2 linked regions of the Arabidopsis thaliana genome follow. The gene in region 2 interacts genetically with the main gene of each other region. Each region holds a gene or a part of one and is shown on either strand. Other genes may lie near its edges.

What was found. A genetic interaction does not mean that the proteins touch.
Region 1: changes in AXR1 (region 2) and ABCB1 impair growth when combined (synthetic growth defect), as found in Arabidopsis thaliana (one study listed by BioGRID).

What each region holds. Positions count from the first base shown.
Region 1 is NC_003071.7:15,499,455-15,508,252, reverse strand, and holds ABCB1 (ATP binding cassette subfamily B1), read right to left. Parts: upstream 6,528-8,798; 5' UTR 6,092-6,527; coding exon 5,828-6,091; intron 5,759-5,827; coding exon 5,704-5,758; intron 5,619-5,703; coding exon 5,443-5,618; intron 5,370-5,442; coding exon 5,169-5,369; intron 5,042-5,168; coding exon 4,782-5,041; intron 4,683-4,781; coding exon 4,366-4,682; intron 4,279-4,365; coding exon 4,055-4,278; intron 3,727-4,054; coding exon 3,353-3,726; intron 3,270-3,352; coding exon 2,552-3,269; intron 2,475-2,551; coding exon 1,203-2,474; 3' UTR 752-1,202; downstream 1-751. UniProt on the Arabidopsis thaliana protein: Brassinosteroid exporter that, in conjunction with ABCB19, supports the accumulation of exogenous brassinosteroids (BR) in the apoplast, thus promoting BR signaling initiation involving the specific receptor BRI1 and required for plant growth and stress responses.
Region 2 is NC_003070.9:1,496,935-1,503,942, forward strand, and holds AXR1 (NAD(P)-binding Rossmann-fold superfamily protein), read right to left. Parts: upstream 5,020-7,008; 5' UTR 4,842-5,019; coding exon 4,756-4,841; intron 4,664-4,755; coding exon 4,491-4,663; intron 4,397-4,490; coding exon 4,233-4,396; intron 3,981-4,232; coding exon 3,870-3,980; intron 3,746-3,869; coding exon 3,666-3,745; intron 3,552-3,665; coding exon 3,398-3,551; intron 3,316-3,397; coding exon 3,222-3,315; intron 3,046-3,221; coding exon 2,957-3,045; intron 2,846-2,956; coding exon 2,772-2,845; intron 2,685-2,771; coding exon 2,522-2,684; intron 2,381-2,521; coding exon 2,295-2,380; intron 1,986-2,294; coding exon 1,902-1,985; intron 1,813-1,901; coding exon 1,632-1,812; coding exon of another isoform or gene 1,590-1,631; exon of another isoform or gene 1,507-1,589; coding exon 1,423-1,506; 3' UTR 1,180-1,422; downstream 1-1,179. Other genes in the region: emb2394 (Ribosomal protein L6 family), read right to left, coding at 5,581-5,917, 6,028-6,327, 6,770-6,804. UniProt on the Arabidopsis thaliana protein: Regulatory subunit of the dimeric ECR1-AXR1 E1 enzyme.

The sequences.
Region 1 (8,798 bases), on a different chromosome or scaffold from region 2:
CAAAAATATAATCTAATCTTACAAAAAAAATCTTGCGTTGATTTGTAAAAGTTATAAATGTAGTTCAAGTTCCAGTATCCATGCTACTTTACATAAAAAAAAAATAAGAGTAAAAAAACCTTGGTGACATTGTTAAACTTTTATTAATAGAAAGTGGGGAATTCCAGTACTGTAGCTTAAATTATTGGCCTTCTATGAATTTCTCAATTAGTGAACGACATGTGCCGAGAGGAGCTAGTGCTTCTTCTTCTCCACCACTATAATTTCCAAGTTTGTTCATAATTAAACACAAATTTATTTGCATTCAACAGCTAAAACAAAGTAGTCATCATCATCATGGTGTGTGTCCCATATGCATATATGTGTGTGTGGTCGCACGCGTGTGTTGCACAAAGAAACGAAGTCAAGAATTGTTTTGTTCATAAAAAGTTATATAAACACAAAAGAAATGTTGTCTTTTCTTTCTTTTTTTCATTATTGTTTTAGCTTTGGGTCTCATCATCTCATTCAATGTCCTTTTTGGACCCATCTTCTTTTTCTCATCTTCTGTTTTCTCATCTTCATAATTTTGTTCCCCACGTATGTTCGTGTGTCTATACATCTAAAGCATTCTTTTTGACAATATTGTCATAGTTAATTATTTATATGCTTACATTACTAATCATGATCTAGTATAAAAGCATGATGTACACACAATAGATTTTAAAATAGACCCACAACATTCGAGACCCATCACCCATCTAACCAATACAATTAAAAACCTTAAAAGATTACATTTTCATCATATACCATAATATTTCTTTTAGAACGGATCTCATGATTGAAAAGTTAGGCTTATCCTGAAATCTAGAACAAGACCAAACCAATATATATGGTAACAAGTGCCTCGATGATTATGAGATACATACCTCTCATCATCACCTTCTTCACTTCACTAGAAAGGCAGAGGCTCATAGATTGATATGGCATATAAATGGATATTACAGAGGTGAAAAATTAGATTAATTATGATAATACACAATAATAATACTATACCATCAAATCTGAAACGTAGTTCCAAAAATAAGTAACCCCAAAATCAAAACAGAAAGAAAAAAAGAGAAAATGATGAGTTCGTAGAGTTTTTTATCAGAAACATCTTCTGGTGTTTGTTGTTTTTTACTCTCCTTCTTTTTTCTTCTATATGACCAAAGTAGTAAGTACTAAGCATCATCTTCCTTAACCCTAGAACTTGAACCTGACGTCATACCAATCACTTGTGTATGCGTAAATCTTTGCAACTGTATCATTCGCGCGTAGATTCCATCAGGATGGTTCTTGAGAAGATGCGAATGCGATCCTTGTTCAGCCACTTTTCCATCATCGATGACAGCGATCACGTGTGCGTTCCTGATTGTAGATAGCCTATGAGCCACGACTATTGATGTTCTACCAGAGCAAGCCTGGTCTAATGCTTCTTGGACTGATCTCTCGGACTCTGCATCAAGAGCGCTTGTAGCCTCGTCAAGCAGCATGATCTCTGCTTTCCTCACGAGGGCACGTGCGATCGCGATCCTCTGTTTCTGTCCTCCCGAGAGCTGAACGCCTCTCTCGCCAACATACGTTTTGTAACCTTCTGGTAGCGCGGATATGAATTTGTGCGCACTGGCTAGAGTCGCGGCTTGTATGATCTCTGCTTCGGTCGCACATTCATGTCCATATGCAATGTTTTCGTAAATGGTAGTTCCGAACAAGCACGGCTCTTGAGGGACTATGGCTATGTGTTTCCTTATGGCTTTCAGGTTGTATTTCCTTATGTCTTTCCCGTCGATCATGACTCGGCCTGAGGAAGGTTCGTAGAATCTCTGGATGAGGGAGATAACTGAGCTTTTTCCGCACCCGCTTGGACCCACAAGAGCTAGGGTTTTGCCAGCTCTAGCACGAAGGCTAAGGTCACGGAAAATCTGGATGTCTGGCCTTGAAGGGTAAGAGAAATCGATATGTTTGAGCTCGACTTCACCACGTAACCGGTCTGGGACCGGGGTGGTATCAGGATCATCAGGTTCAATCTCGGTTTTCCGGTCAAGAAGTTCGAAAACAGACCGCATAGCTTGACCACCTTTGATGAAATCAGGAGCCAGTGTGAGTGTCTCTGCTGCACCATTGGCTGAGACCATCAGAACCATGAAGACTCTTATGGTTTTGGAGAAGTCAGAGATGCCGTGTTTCACAAGCCATGATGCGTACCATAGCCCGAGAGCATAAGATGCATAAAGACAGAACTGAGCTACACCATAACCACTTCCAGCGATCTGTCCTTTCCAGAAGCATCGTTTCAATGGTGGTTCGAGGTTTGCAGTGTAGAGACGGACAATCTTTGCCTCCGAGTTAAATGCAGCAACTGTCCTGACATTAGCTATGGCTTCACCAGCAAGCTGCGTTCCCTTGGCATGTGCCGCTTCCAGGTCTCCCGAGAAACCAGTCATGAACATTTTCTGTTCAAAAGACAAGACAAAGTTTCAGATCCAAGAACAACAATGAGAGCATGCACATGCTTTAAAAGAACACAAACCTGTAAGACAGTTGCAGCAACAACTACGGGGAAGACTGCGACAAGGACAAGTGCGAGTCTCCATTGTAGAACAAACCCGGCAGTGCAAGCAACAAGCATCAGTGCTGTGTTCTGCACAATAACCGATATTCTATCTCCTATCGCAGATCTCACATTATTAGCATCAAGAGCTAATCTTGCTGCGATTCTTGCACTTTCGTTCTCCTCTTGATCAAACCAAGCCATCTCATTCTTGAGTACAGCGCTCAGCATCTTCTCACGGACTCTCTTGGTCAGATTCTCACCCACAATGTCCCAGAAAGAATGCTGGAGCGTGTTGAAGACAAGTGCTGCGGAAGAGAGACCGATTAAGAGATAACAGTACTTATCAATCTGTTTGATCATGTATTCGTGGTCCGGGTTGTAGTAGACGCTTAAGACTGCACTGAGGACATATGCGAAGAATGCACTAAGGGAGCCACAAATGACAGAGCCTACTGAACCGAGCAAAGCGTATTTCCACTCTGGAGAGTTCATTTTAGCTAGTCGCCAGAATGAATTGGCTTGATCCTTGAAGGCCAGCTTCTCGTTTCTATAGTTTGGGTAGGACGAAGCGTCAATGGAGAGGCTAAAATCAGAAGTTGAGAAATCGGATAGTCTCCGTGAATAAGGTGATCTTCCATACGACGAATTCCGAGTCATTATTGGCGAGCTAACCGAGTTTCTAGCACTCGACGGTCTGCAACAAATAGATTAACATCAGTAACCCAAAAAAAAGCATCATCAAAACAAAAAACAAACACAAAATGAATAAGAGTATACCTTGCGCTACTCTTTCTTGCATTGCTCATGGCGGTTTCGTGAGCTGCTTCTTGCATTTTAATTAGCTTAGCATAGACTCCATTTTCTCCCTTGGAAAAAAGCTCATCATGCGTTCCAATCTCAGAGACACTTCCTTGCTGTAGCACAGCAACAAGGTCAGCTTTTCGAATGGTAGAAAGGCGATGAGCAATGATGAGAGTAGTCCTTCCAATCATGAAACGATCCAAAGCCTCTTGTACAAGCTTCTCTGATTCAGAATCCAATGCACTCGTCGCCTCATCTAATAGAAGTATCGCCGGGTTCTTCAACATCGCTCTTGCTATCGCTATTCTTTGCTTCTGCCCACCAGACAGCTGCAATCCTCTCTCCCCAACCTGACATTATTCACATTTACCACATGAGTATAAACAAACATATGTCTATCTGGATTAAAAATCCATTGGAATAGTGGTTGCTGGTTTTCAAGTTAAAGTAGCAAGAAAAAAAACAAGCACATGAACACTAAAAAAAATTCAACATCAAGACACATGACTAAAACTACTTGTCTGGGTCTCACATGCGTTGTTGACCAAACCCATGTTACTCTGTTATAAATGCTTTTCCATGACCATACCTCTTCTCTCTTTTGACTCTTTCAAAATACCTTAAACTAATGAATAATTGAAGAAACAAAAGAACACAGATTCACATAAACCATCAGACCTGTGTGTCGAAGCCATCAGGTAGTTTGATGATAAAGGAATGAGCATTTGCGACTCGAGCAGCCTCCTCTATCTCGACTTGATCTGCGTCAGGACGGCCTAAGAGTATATTCTCCTTGATAGAAGTGGCGAATAATGCAGGTTCTTGACTCACTAGCCCTATCTGTTGCCTTAACCATCTCAGTTTCAGCGTCTTCAGGTCTTGCCCATCTAGTAAAACTTGTCCTGCAGAGACGATAACACCGTGTTAATTAAAATAACAATGCTCGAACAAAACAGCTTGAAATGTAACAGAATGTTAAGATTGTTAACCTGAGTTCGGGTCGTAAAACCGCTCTATAAGCGAAACGACTGTGCTTTTTCCTGAACCACTGCTCCCAACCAAAGCAATGGTCTTCCCAGCAGGAACAGAGAGGCAGAAGTTGTTAAGAATCTTAACATCTGGCCTTGACGGATACGAAAAGTCCACATTTTTAAGCTCGACAAGACCCGTGACTGAGTCTAACTCCACACCGGACTCGCTGTTACGCTCTATCGTTGGTTTGTGATCAATGATTCTAAAGATCTTTGCAGCAGCAACCTTTGCTTTGGCAAATGCAGCCATGCTCGGTGCTGATTGTCCCAATGCCCTTTAAACAAAAATAAAAAAACTCATCACCATCAACAAACCAATATCAAACCAAATGATAACAAGAGTGATGAACAGAGAAGAGCAAAGAGTTGCTTACAATCCACCAATCATAACGGCGAACATTGTGGCAATAGCGAGACCACCGTTGGTCAAATGGTGGCGAACTAGATAACCACCGTACCAAAGCAAGAGAGCGTAACAACAAAAGACAACGAAGTATGTAGCACCAAGTCCCATTCCTTTAGCTAAACCTGTTTTGTAACCAAGCTTCTGAGCAATCTTCAAAGCTGATGAATAAGCTTGTGAAGCTCTTGATTCTCCAACGAAAGCCATCACTACCCTGATTTGTACCACTGTCTGCCATTTTTTTCAGAAATTGAATCAGACCCAAAAAAAAACCAGATGATAGAATGATCTGATGATTACTGGATTTGACAAAAATAGAAACTTTATTTATTTATTTCTAGGGATTTGTGCACTCTACCTGTTCGACGATATTACCAGCTTGTGAAAGAGACTCTTGACTCTTATTAGATAGTTTAGAGAGAGTAGTGGTGTGAATTCCTCCGATCACAGCAATCAACGGAACCACCGCGAGAGTCACTAAAGCTAGTTGCCACACCGCAGTGAAACCCACGATGAATCCAGAAACAAAAGTCGCCATGTAATGGATGAAATTACCAAGCTGAGATTCCCAAAAAAAAACAGATCAGATAAGGAAGAAGAAACAAAAAGACTAAGAATTTGAAGATTCTTACTTTCTCACTAATGGCGTCTTGAACCATAACAGCGTCGGTGTTAATGGCGAAGACAACATCTGAAGTTCGAACTTCTGTATCAAAGAACTGAATGTCTTGATTCAAAGCTGCTTCTAAATACTTAATCCTCATCTTCGTTGTTTGTCTCTCTCCACTCCACATCCAACACGAAATCTCTGCAACAACGAAACCATATTTAAAACCGAATCAGATCAAGAGAACAGTATAAAAGTTTAGATCTTTAAGTAACTTTCTTCTAACCTGCCCAAGAGGAAGCCCAGATTGCAGCACCAACCACTAAAAAGTAAAGCGCATACTGCAATAACCAAAAACAAGTTAGTGTTTTCAAAGATTGAAGATGAAGAGAAAGAAATAAAGTTAGTACCTTGAGAACTTCTTCCATCATCTTTTCAACGTTATTAGAATTAGAACCAAAGGAATTAACAAGATCGGCGAAGAATCGAAGAAACAGAGGTAAAGAGCAGCCATGGACAAAAGCACCAACAGAGCCAATTCCCATCAATACATAATCTAATCCGTCGGCGAATCTGAATAGCTCTTTAAAAGCAACTCCACGAATCTCTGCTTTCTTAGGCTCTTCCACCACTAGTGTCGGCGGAGGAGGAGGAGCACCACCGTCATTATCCATTTCCGGTGAGTTTCTCTGGAGCTTCGTGAGTTGTTGTTGGTGTTATGAGGGAGAAGCTCAAGGCCTTGCATTTCGGACCAACGCCATTGTTCAAGTGACTTAATTTCTTCTTCTTCGTCTACTTTTTTCTGATCAGATTGTTGGGACATTTGTGTAGATGTTTTCTTACTTTGCTTTATAGAGAACCTCAAAAACCACAACAGCCCTGAAGAAAATTAATAAATAAATAATATACTATTTTTTAAAAATCTTATTTTGTTTTCTTATTAAAATAAAATAAAACTCAAGACTATAAAAATCGAATAGCTTCTTCTTCACAACACTTATTTTTATAATCTTCCATCTTCAGTTTTCTTCCGCTCTATATGCTTTCTTTAATACTTTACTAATCCCACTCTTCATTTGTTTTGATTTATTTCCTTATTTATTAACGTTTTTTACCGTTTTTTAATTATTAATTATGTATAATTTGCGATTAATCAGTCAACTTGTGTACTGGCCAGTCAATTTGTGTATTTATTCTCTTTATTACCAACTTAAAAAATTTAATAGAATTACCAAAATTTGGATTTTCGTGTAGTGATTTTCAGCCCACGCTTGATGTTTTTATTTCCTTTTTACACATTTGTTTCCATGTTCTTGGAATCGTTTGCTTTTTAGTGGGTTTTTATTTTGTCACACAAAAAAAGGAATTAATACTTTAGTAAATTGTTATTTTTTTTTCTTCGGTTTCTTGTTGCGTAGAAAACAAAGAAAGTGACAGATGATGGAAGAGAGAGAGATTGATGGAATCCGACATAGAACACTGTTAGAAATTGGAGATAAGTTTTTTTTGACTCCCAACAGTTTCTGCTCTTCATTGGTCTCAATAATCTCTCTATATATCTTTTTTATAAAATCAGGGAAAAACAATAATAATTACCGTGAGGTGCAATGATAAACGATAATCACATTAAAAAAAAAATATTTAGCATCAAAAACAAAAAAGAATATATATATAATCACTTCTTCTATTTTTTTAGACCAAATTTGGTAGGTACAATTATTATCGATTATGATTGTTCGTTAGATCTTGGAAATGTGTACAGTAGTTATAAATCATGACACCAACTACAGAAAATTACTGGATTAAAAGTTAAAACCATTTTGTTAAGTGGTTTTATTAAAATGTATTGGCAAATTATAGATGTGATTATTGTTGTGTAGGATCTAATTAAATAAAATTACATTCAAAATGTCAAACAGTCAACGTTTACAAAACTGTGGATGGATTCATACACAAGTTATAGGTACCTGCAACTTCTGTTCGGTTGTTTTTAAACTATTGTCTGAAAGTCTTAAGTGTGAAATATTGTTACAACTACAAGAGAAATGCACCCCAAAAAAAAAAACAAATCAACGATTAAATGTTACACCTACAATTGCAACTAATCATATAAGAATTTCTATATAAGTTTATTTTTCATATAGATAAACAAATCTCTTTTGCTATTTTTAATCAGTGTTTTTTTCTTTGAGAGTAATAAGCAAACTTTGGTAGTTGAGTTTTGTTGTACATTGAATTATTATATGATAAAGTACAATTGTATTTTTACTATCTCAACTTTTTTAGTAGTAGTTTGTTTTGCCTTTTCTTTTTGGGATATCACATTCCAATGAGCCCAAGTGAAGAAGGGTTGCTCTGCGAGTGTGTAAGAATATATATATGTTCACACAATAGTTCCCTTTCCTTTAATTATGGTCTCAACTTTAATTATTAGATATTTTCTAATTGTATTAATCACAATTATAAAACATCATTAACAAAATAGAAAAATTGGGGTTCACATTAACCTGGTGAAGAAAAACGAATCTAACCGGTTTAGTTTAATTTAAATGGAAAAACGAAAGTCGTGATAGTGAATTATTTATGTGATTATTTAATTAAAAAGAAATAAAATCAGAGTCAGAGTAAGACACTGTGGTACGGAAATTAAATAGTAGTATAATATAATGAAAGCCATCTTTTGTGGGAAAGAACTGCTTTAATCACGCCTCTAGAGATCCAAATTTAAATTGTCTCCTCATTTTCTTATGCAGAAGAAATCTTTTAATTAGTAAATGTCAAGAGTACAATGACGAGTGCAACTTCTCTATGATTTTTTTTGAGATAATTAGCAAAATAAAGGGCATATAGTAGCTGATTGATTATAACGGCTTAACAATATTGTCATATAATCTTTTTAATTATGTGTAATACGTATGCAAAAAAAGAACTCCACTCTCATCATAATAGTGAAAAAAAAAACTTTTAACTATGGTTTCACCTGAAAAAGCCTAAAAACAATGGATTATGTCGTTGATCAAAACCCTTGAAATAACCATGTAACACTAACAATGAAGGTGGATTTTCATAGTCATCTTTCCTGTTTTCTATCACTCTGACATTTTTTTTTTTGGACTAAAAACGTTTATTTTGGAAATGTAATATATATTTTTTTTACTCATGCGTAGAAGAAAATTTATTTCTGAATTATTTTCACCTAAACTAATTTCAAGAATCGAATCTGTTTGTTAACCGAAAGTCACGTCGGTGATTTTGCCCGTTTGTTGAAAACAAAACCTACCCTACTTTTTATTATCCTAATTAATCATTTTGTCCAACTAAACGAAATGGATTTGGTTAAAAATCCTTTGTTTTAAAAAGTTACTACAGTCATTGGCCCAC
Region 2 (7,008 bases):
ACTTTACCTAATTCAATGTCTAAGTTTGGTCAGTCGATCTCTTCTTCAAGCAAAACCCCTTTAAAGCTGACATCCCAATTTCCATCCATCCATCTGTTTCTTGTTGCTAACTCCTTTCTCAGACCTTTTCTTTTTTAATAATTGTCTTTTTCCTATCAAATTTACACATACTATGTAGATAAATACCAGAAGGAAAAACAAAAGTAACAAATCGGGTCAAACTTATCAAAATTGGATGCCGAATGAATTTTAACATTGGAACTAGAATCTTCCCAAGAAAAAAGTGTTTAGTCAAATCTCATGATTGAAACATGATTAAGGAAACTTCTACGTTCATCTTACTTAAAGTTTTTTTTTTTTTTTTGTGTGTGTGTGTCACGTATTCAAGTTGTATTTAAGTAAAACTTAAAACTAGCAAATCTTAACTTTTAAATTAAGTTCATACCGCTAGTGTGTGTCATTAGCATAATGCGTTACCAAAGTTCTATCTCAGACTATGTTTTAAGGGTGATGATTGATTTAGATATGATATTAAAAGATTCGTTTCGCATCATTAGTGCTTTTCTTTTGTCAAATGCTGTTCACAAAATTCAAACGTAATGTAGATGGAAACGACATACGCTATGTCGGCTGCGTTCGACATTAGCAGTTCACAAGACTATATTACCTCTCATGTGTTTATACATTATATATATTTATATACTACAGTACATATTTAAACAAATGCATAAGAAAAAGGGTATAATTGATACTTTTATATCGAAAACGAAATGTCATGGTAGTAACAAGTGAAACCCACCGAGCTTCAATGGCCTCTATTATTCATGCATTTGCCATAATAACCCTACACCACCCAATTCAAATTGTCTTTATTGCCCCAAATCCCTAAATTGGATTTGTGGTTCTTGATGTTATTAATTCTTTGATGCCCATTAACTTTTTAGACAATTTTAATATTATATTTTGATTGATCTTATTCTTGGACCCCATTTTATTGAGAGTAACTTTTGAGCTTTGATGTTAACGTAATGCAAATTCTTGTCGTTTGTATGATTTGCAGAAATCATCTCATTAAACCTTTTGCCGACTAGAATCATGTGGAGAATGGGCTTACTGTGTCCCTTTTTATGAGACTCATGGAGAATGAGCTAACTGTGGCCCATTTTATGTGACTCCCGTGTAGAATGGGCTTACAGTGGCCCATTTTATGAGATTAGCTTCATTTAACCTTCAAATATTTCTAACCTCAAGGACAAAGCAAAGCAAGATTTTCGAAGATTCTGAGTCGGATGGTCTCAGCTGAACTGTCATTGAAAATTTTGTTTCTCAGTAGTAGCAAAAAGATTATCTTTTAATCAGAAGAATAATATATGATAGAGCTCTTTCTCTCTGTTTCAAGCCAATGTGTTAAGGAAAGATCTTCTACAATTTCAATAACTGAGACTTGTGATCAATGCCATTGAAGATGTAAGTCCCCAACATCGGAACAAACTGCTTTGTGACAAGCTGCAAACAAAGATAGAAAGAGACAACTACATATTCAATTACCTCGTTAAGCATGTCCAGAAGCTAGCGACTTCCCCATAAGACTAACTGAATTTGAAACAATGAGAAAGAAATATGAATCGAACCTTGATGACTTCTTGAGATGCGATTCCTCCAACAAAGGCAGAAACCACATGAATCTCTGAGGCACCAAAGCGACACATCTCATGGATAAGGTCATCTGGGAGTACTGAGCCGTTACAGCCCAAGTCGGTAAGAAGACTCAAGGCAGTAGTTTTTAATCGAGAAATGTCCTCATCCATTCCTCTACCAAAATGTATTGCATGTTAATAGCCAAACAAGGACCCATTGTTCAAAAATAAAGATTAAGCTTAGTGCCATAATGAATTTCTTACCCATCAAACTGCCCAGGAAACTTGTTATAGTTGGCAGCAAATCTGTCCGCAGCTCTAAGAAGAATATAAAATCCCATTGCACCACTGCGACAGTAACAATATTTAAGTATAAGAGCTAAACATGCAAGCCTAGAAAAATTTTGAACTAAATCCAGAATCTATTTTTTCTGCTGTGTAAGCCTAAGATGAACTAAAAAGTTTGGTTAGCTCAGGTCAACTAAATGAATAGCTTATACAGTAAATTATGCAGTTTTGAAAAAATGCTCCTGCAATATTCAATCACAACATCTTATGGCATGTATGAGACAGACAAAAGAGTGAACATTTTGTAGAAAGGTCATCTTTCAAATCATCTGATGTTTTTGTACTCATATGAAAAGGGAAAATTCGCACCTGTAATCCTCGTCCGCTAAATACTTTTGAATTTCAGTTACAGAAGGATTTCTGAACTCGTCCTCTACCATACGATATCTGCACAACTACAAAGGACGGATTATGGTTTATGCTTTACTCAAATCATATGTTTCTGATAATGCTCCGAAGAAAAAGTAAACAAGCAATAGGTAAAACGTTGACATTAGAAAACAAATTAAACATGTTAGGAAGTTTAGTATACTCACTTTAAGTTTCCTTGCATTCTTGCAGAAGCTCTTGATTGTTGGTTTTGGGATGCTGCTCGGATCTCGACCGATTTTCTTTAAAATGTTTTTAACTCGTTCCTCAATGACAAGAAAATCAGCCTCGGCTTTGGCTAAATAGATTTTCTGCAAATTGATATAGTGTCTGCAAAGAGAAACCATACAGCTACATAACCAATGTGAAAAATAGACTGAGGGTGAATTTCAGTGCCATAGAGGCAAGTGCACTAACTCTGTTGAAGAGGTCATATCTGGTATAGAACCTTCAAGGGGTGCCTCTCCACCACCTTCATTTAAAACAAACTCCTGCAGGTGGTTATGTACGATTATGATTTCAATCAAAATGAGTTGCAGTTTGCACTTCCTAAATGAACATAAAATTATGAGTTCTGGCAGAGCAGGTTTCAAGTTTCAAACCTTCAGAGCCGCTACCATCACCCAAAAAGCTGAGGAGTTTGAATTCACTTCAGCACAACTATCATTAATTAATTTTTGAACCTCTGAGCCTGGAAGAGAAAACAGGTTTGGTTCAACATGAAGAATACTGTGATTTGACCCGTGACAGAGCTTTCTGTTAGTTTAGCTCCAATATCAACAATCGCTACACCTATTAACTCAACCATGGAAACAGTAAACATTCTAAGTCAAGTTTCTACCTAGACCAAACAAGATATCTACTTACTGATTCCTCGAGGAGCAAAAACTTTGAAAGCGGCTTCAATGGCTTCTTTGTAGTTATCTTCATCCGTAGATACCATCTTGGACTTAACCAAATCCTAAGAATTCAAGGATATAGATAATTAAAACAAGAAAGCAAGCTCGCTAATAAATTTTATAAGTTACAAAAAAGAACTAAACCTTAAACTCTTTTTTCTCTTCCCTGGTTGAGGGAAGATTACCACTATGGGATTGAGCCCACTCCTCAGCCATCTTTACAAGAATGACGACGTAAGGTATGTGCTTATGTGCAGCGGCCGGCTCTGATACATTCAGATCAATGGTCTCCACAAAACTGCCGTTCATTAAATAATTAAGAATATCAGTAAGTACTCAGTCGTCCATCCACAACCATAATGTTAAAGGATGCCAGAACAACATAAAGTGAGAGGATATGAGAGCAGTGGACCTCTTGAGTTCAGGCCATGGATTATTCAGGCGGAGGTCGTCAAGAAAATGATCAGGTTTTGAGTCAATTATGGGGTGCTCCTGATAAAAAAGAAAAGAAGAGAGCTTAGCATATATTCTCATTGGCCAATATCCTAACCACGGCATACCACAAAGTAATCTAAACTTTATCACAAATTGGGTCTAGACAGGTGGTATTAATTACCTTTACAGAGATGCGAACAAACCCAGCAAGGCCATAAGAGCGAACCAAAACCAACTTAACGTTTGCATCTCGACAGATTCTATCAAGTTTCAACATTGAATCTTCCACCAGCTGCAACCAATCAATGTCGAAAAGGGGATGAAATAACGAACTTAAATAACAATAACACAGGAAAAAGAAGCCTAATAAAGCAATATCCCGTGAAGAGGACGAGGAAAAGTACATATGAGAAACTAACTAAAGAACATTGAATAGAAGGTATCATGATCCATGGTGAGTGACTGTGTAAGCAAAGATTAGAACTTTGAAAAATTGTAACACACAAATCATTAGAGAAGATTACAAATAGAAAAACAATGGTACCTGAGTGGCTATAACGAGAGTGAACTGAGAGAAGAAAGATGGGTTAGTAGTAATCAACGTGTCTGGATTCTCCTCAATAAACTTGGCGTTAACAGAATCATTAAGCTCTTGGAGAAACGCACAAACAGATTTGGCTTTTGATTGGCCAACACTCTTCGCATCGACTTCACATGAAAAAAAAAAATCATCATAACGCAAGCAAGTCCCCCAAAACCCCCAGAAGAAACACAATCAAAAAGTTTCAAAATTAGTCAGTACCCATGAAATTGTTCCCAAGGTCACCAAATTGAACCTTAGATCCATCAACAACGGTGATGCTACCAACACCACCAAGTACGAGATTCTTCAAAGCCTCGGAACCAGTAGGGCCACAATTGAGTAAACAGATACTCGCTTCTTCCAAGGCCGCTTGACCTACCTCCCCCCAAATCCTAATCAGTCAACCCAACGATTACTACTTCATCAATTTTCCTCCCGACAAGAGTAGTTCGAAGTAGAGTTTAAGGAAAAAGAGTATGTATACCTGAGCTGACGATCGTACTTGGTTTTAGGTTCTACCATTGTTGGCTCTTCTTCAACATGTCTCCTGGATCTTTTTACTGCTTGCATCTTCGCAGCTCAAGCGAGAGACGATTTTTGCCTCCGGTGAACTGATAAACAAAAAGACTTTTCTTCAATCAGGGTTTTTGTTTATTTCCGAATATTTTATTGTTTTTAGGAAATTTATCGTTTGAAAAAAGTTATCTACCAAATTAAAAAATCGATATTAATATCTTACTGATTTTTTATATATATAAGCAAATAAGAAAATTTTGTAAATATTTTTTTTAAAAAAAAATTGTGAAAAAGAAGAAGATATAAGCAAATAAGAATAATCACCATGATATTGTTTTTTGTTTTATTTCCGACTATTATTATTCTTATAGGAAATTTTCGTTTTTTAAAAAGTTATCTACCAAATTAAGAATACAGATATTAATATCTTACTGTTACGATTTTTTAGATATAAGAAAATAAGAAAATTTGTAATTAAAAAAAAGAAGAATAGATTAAAAAATTGTTTTAAAAAGTTTATCTACCATGATTTTTGTCCGATTTGGATTGGTTTGGTTCAATAAGGAAACATAACAATAGAATCACACCGATGAGGCACTTTGTGCCCAAGTTCTTGTTCAATCAAAGCACTAAAGAAATTTTTGTCAGAGCATCAAAAACAATTAATGGGTTCCTTTAAAAACTTACTCAAGAATCCCAACACAAACATCTTCATTTCTAAACAAATTTGAGCAAATACACATAAACATTGAAAGGAAGAGATAAGTAAGTAGATAATAATGAAAAATGAAGATCATTTCTTCTTTCCAGCTTTTCCTTCCTTCCTCCGAACTATCTCATCGGAATACTTGACTCCTTTCCCCTTGTATGGCTCTGGTGGCCTCCACTTCCTAACCGTTGCAGCAAACTGCCCGATTTCGCTCTTGTCGTATCCACTCACAGTGATTCTTGTGTTCTCTTCCACTTTCACTTTCAGACTATCCGGTATCTGCATCTTCACCGGGTGTGAAAACCCGAGATTTAGCACCAGCTCCTTTCCGTCTACTGTTGCACGATAACCAACACCCACAAGTATAAGCTTTTTCTCAAATCCCTTTGATACTCCCACAACCATGTTATCGGTAAGCGTCCTAAAAGTCACACAGAAGTTAAAAAAAAAGATTAGAGAACAAACGATCTTTTAACCTCAAAAAAGTTAAGGACTTCATTGGATGACAAGAAAAGATGAGAAGTTTGTAACCTGAAAAGGCCGTGCATTTGGTTGGCTCTTCTAGTTTCGACGGTTTTTTTGACCCTTAAGAAACCGGATTCTTCCTTTGTAAGCTCAACTTCGCGTGGGTAAGTTAAAGCCAGCTCTCCTAATGGACCCTTCACTTTCAAGTCTTGACCTTCCAATGCAATGGTTACATTGGAAGGTACAGCGATCGGTTGCTTTCCTATCCTTGATTCTTTGCACTCAATGGTCTTACTGGAGTAACCCACTTGAGCAAAAGGTGTGCTTGAGACCTTGAACACATTTCTATCTCCCAAAAATGCTGACCTAAAACAAAGGGGAAGTTATCTATCTATCTTCAGATAAAACATGTCAAGAAAGTAAAACTCTACCAGATATATATCTAAACCAATACACAGAAACTGTTATTGGAACAAAGATAACGTTAGATTAAGGAAGAGAAACATTCTTGTAGAACTTTCAGTTTCCATGGCTAAAAACCCCTCTAGAATCCTGCTTTTTACACAGTGAGTTCCGCATAACACATTCAAATTCCCAAAATAAAAATCCACAATTTCAAGAGTCCATAACCAATTCAACATTGCCATCGATTTAAAAAGATAAAAATAACCCATTCAAAGAGATTCCTTATACTTGGGAGGCTCATGAACACAGTTTATAGAGATTTTTGAGTAGAAAATGCCAAGTAAAGAAAACGAAACCCTAGCGGAATGAAGAAGCTCTATGGTTTGTAGTATATGAAAAGTACCTGGGTTGAAAAGATGAGACGAGTGAGGAAGCCATTGATAAGATTTGATGATGGAGCTCTAAGCTCTGCTCCAGAAGGAGGATGAAGAGAAGAAGAAGAGCGTTTTATCCAGAAAAGACTTATCCATCGTCAGCTTCTGTAATCCCCTCTTTCAAATCATTACTTTCACGGCCCATTAGCTCACTATTTTCGGCCCATTACTTTTAACCATCCTTCTGTGGGACAATTCATTATTTGTG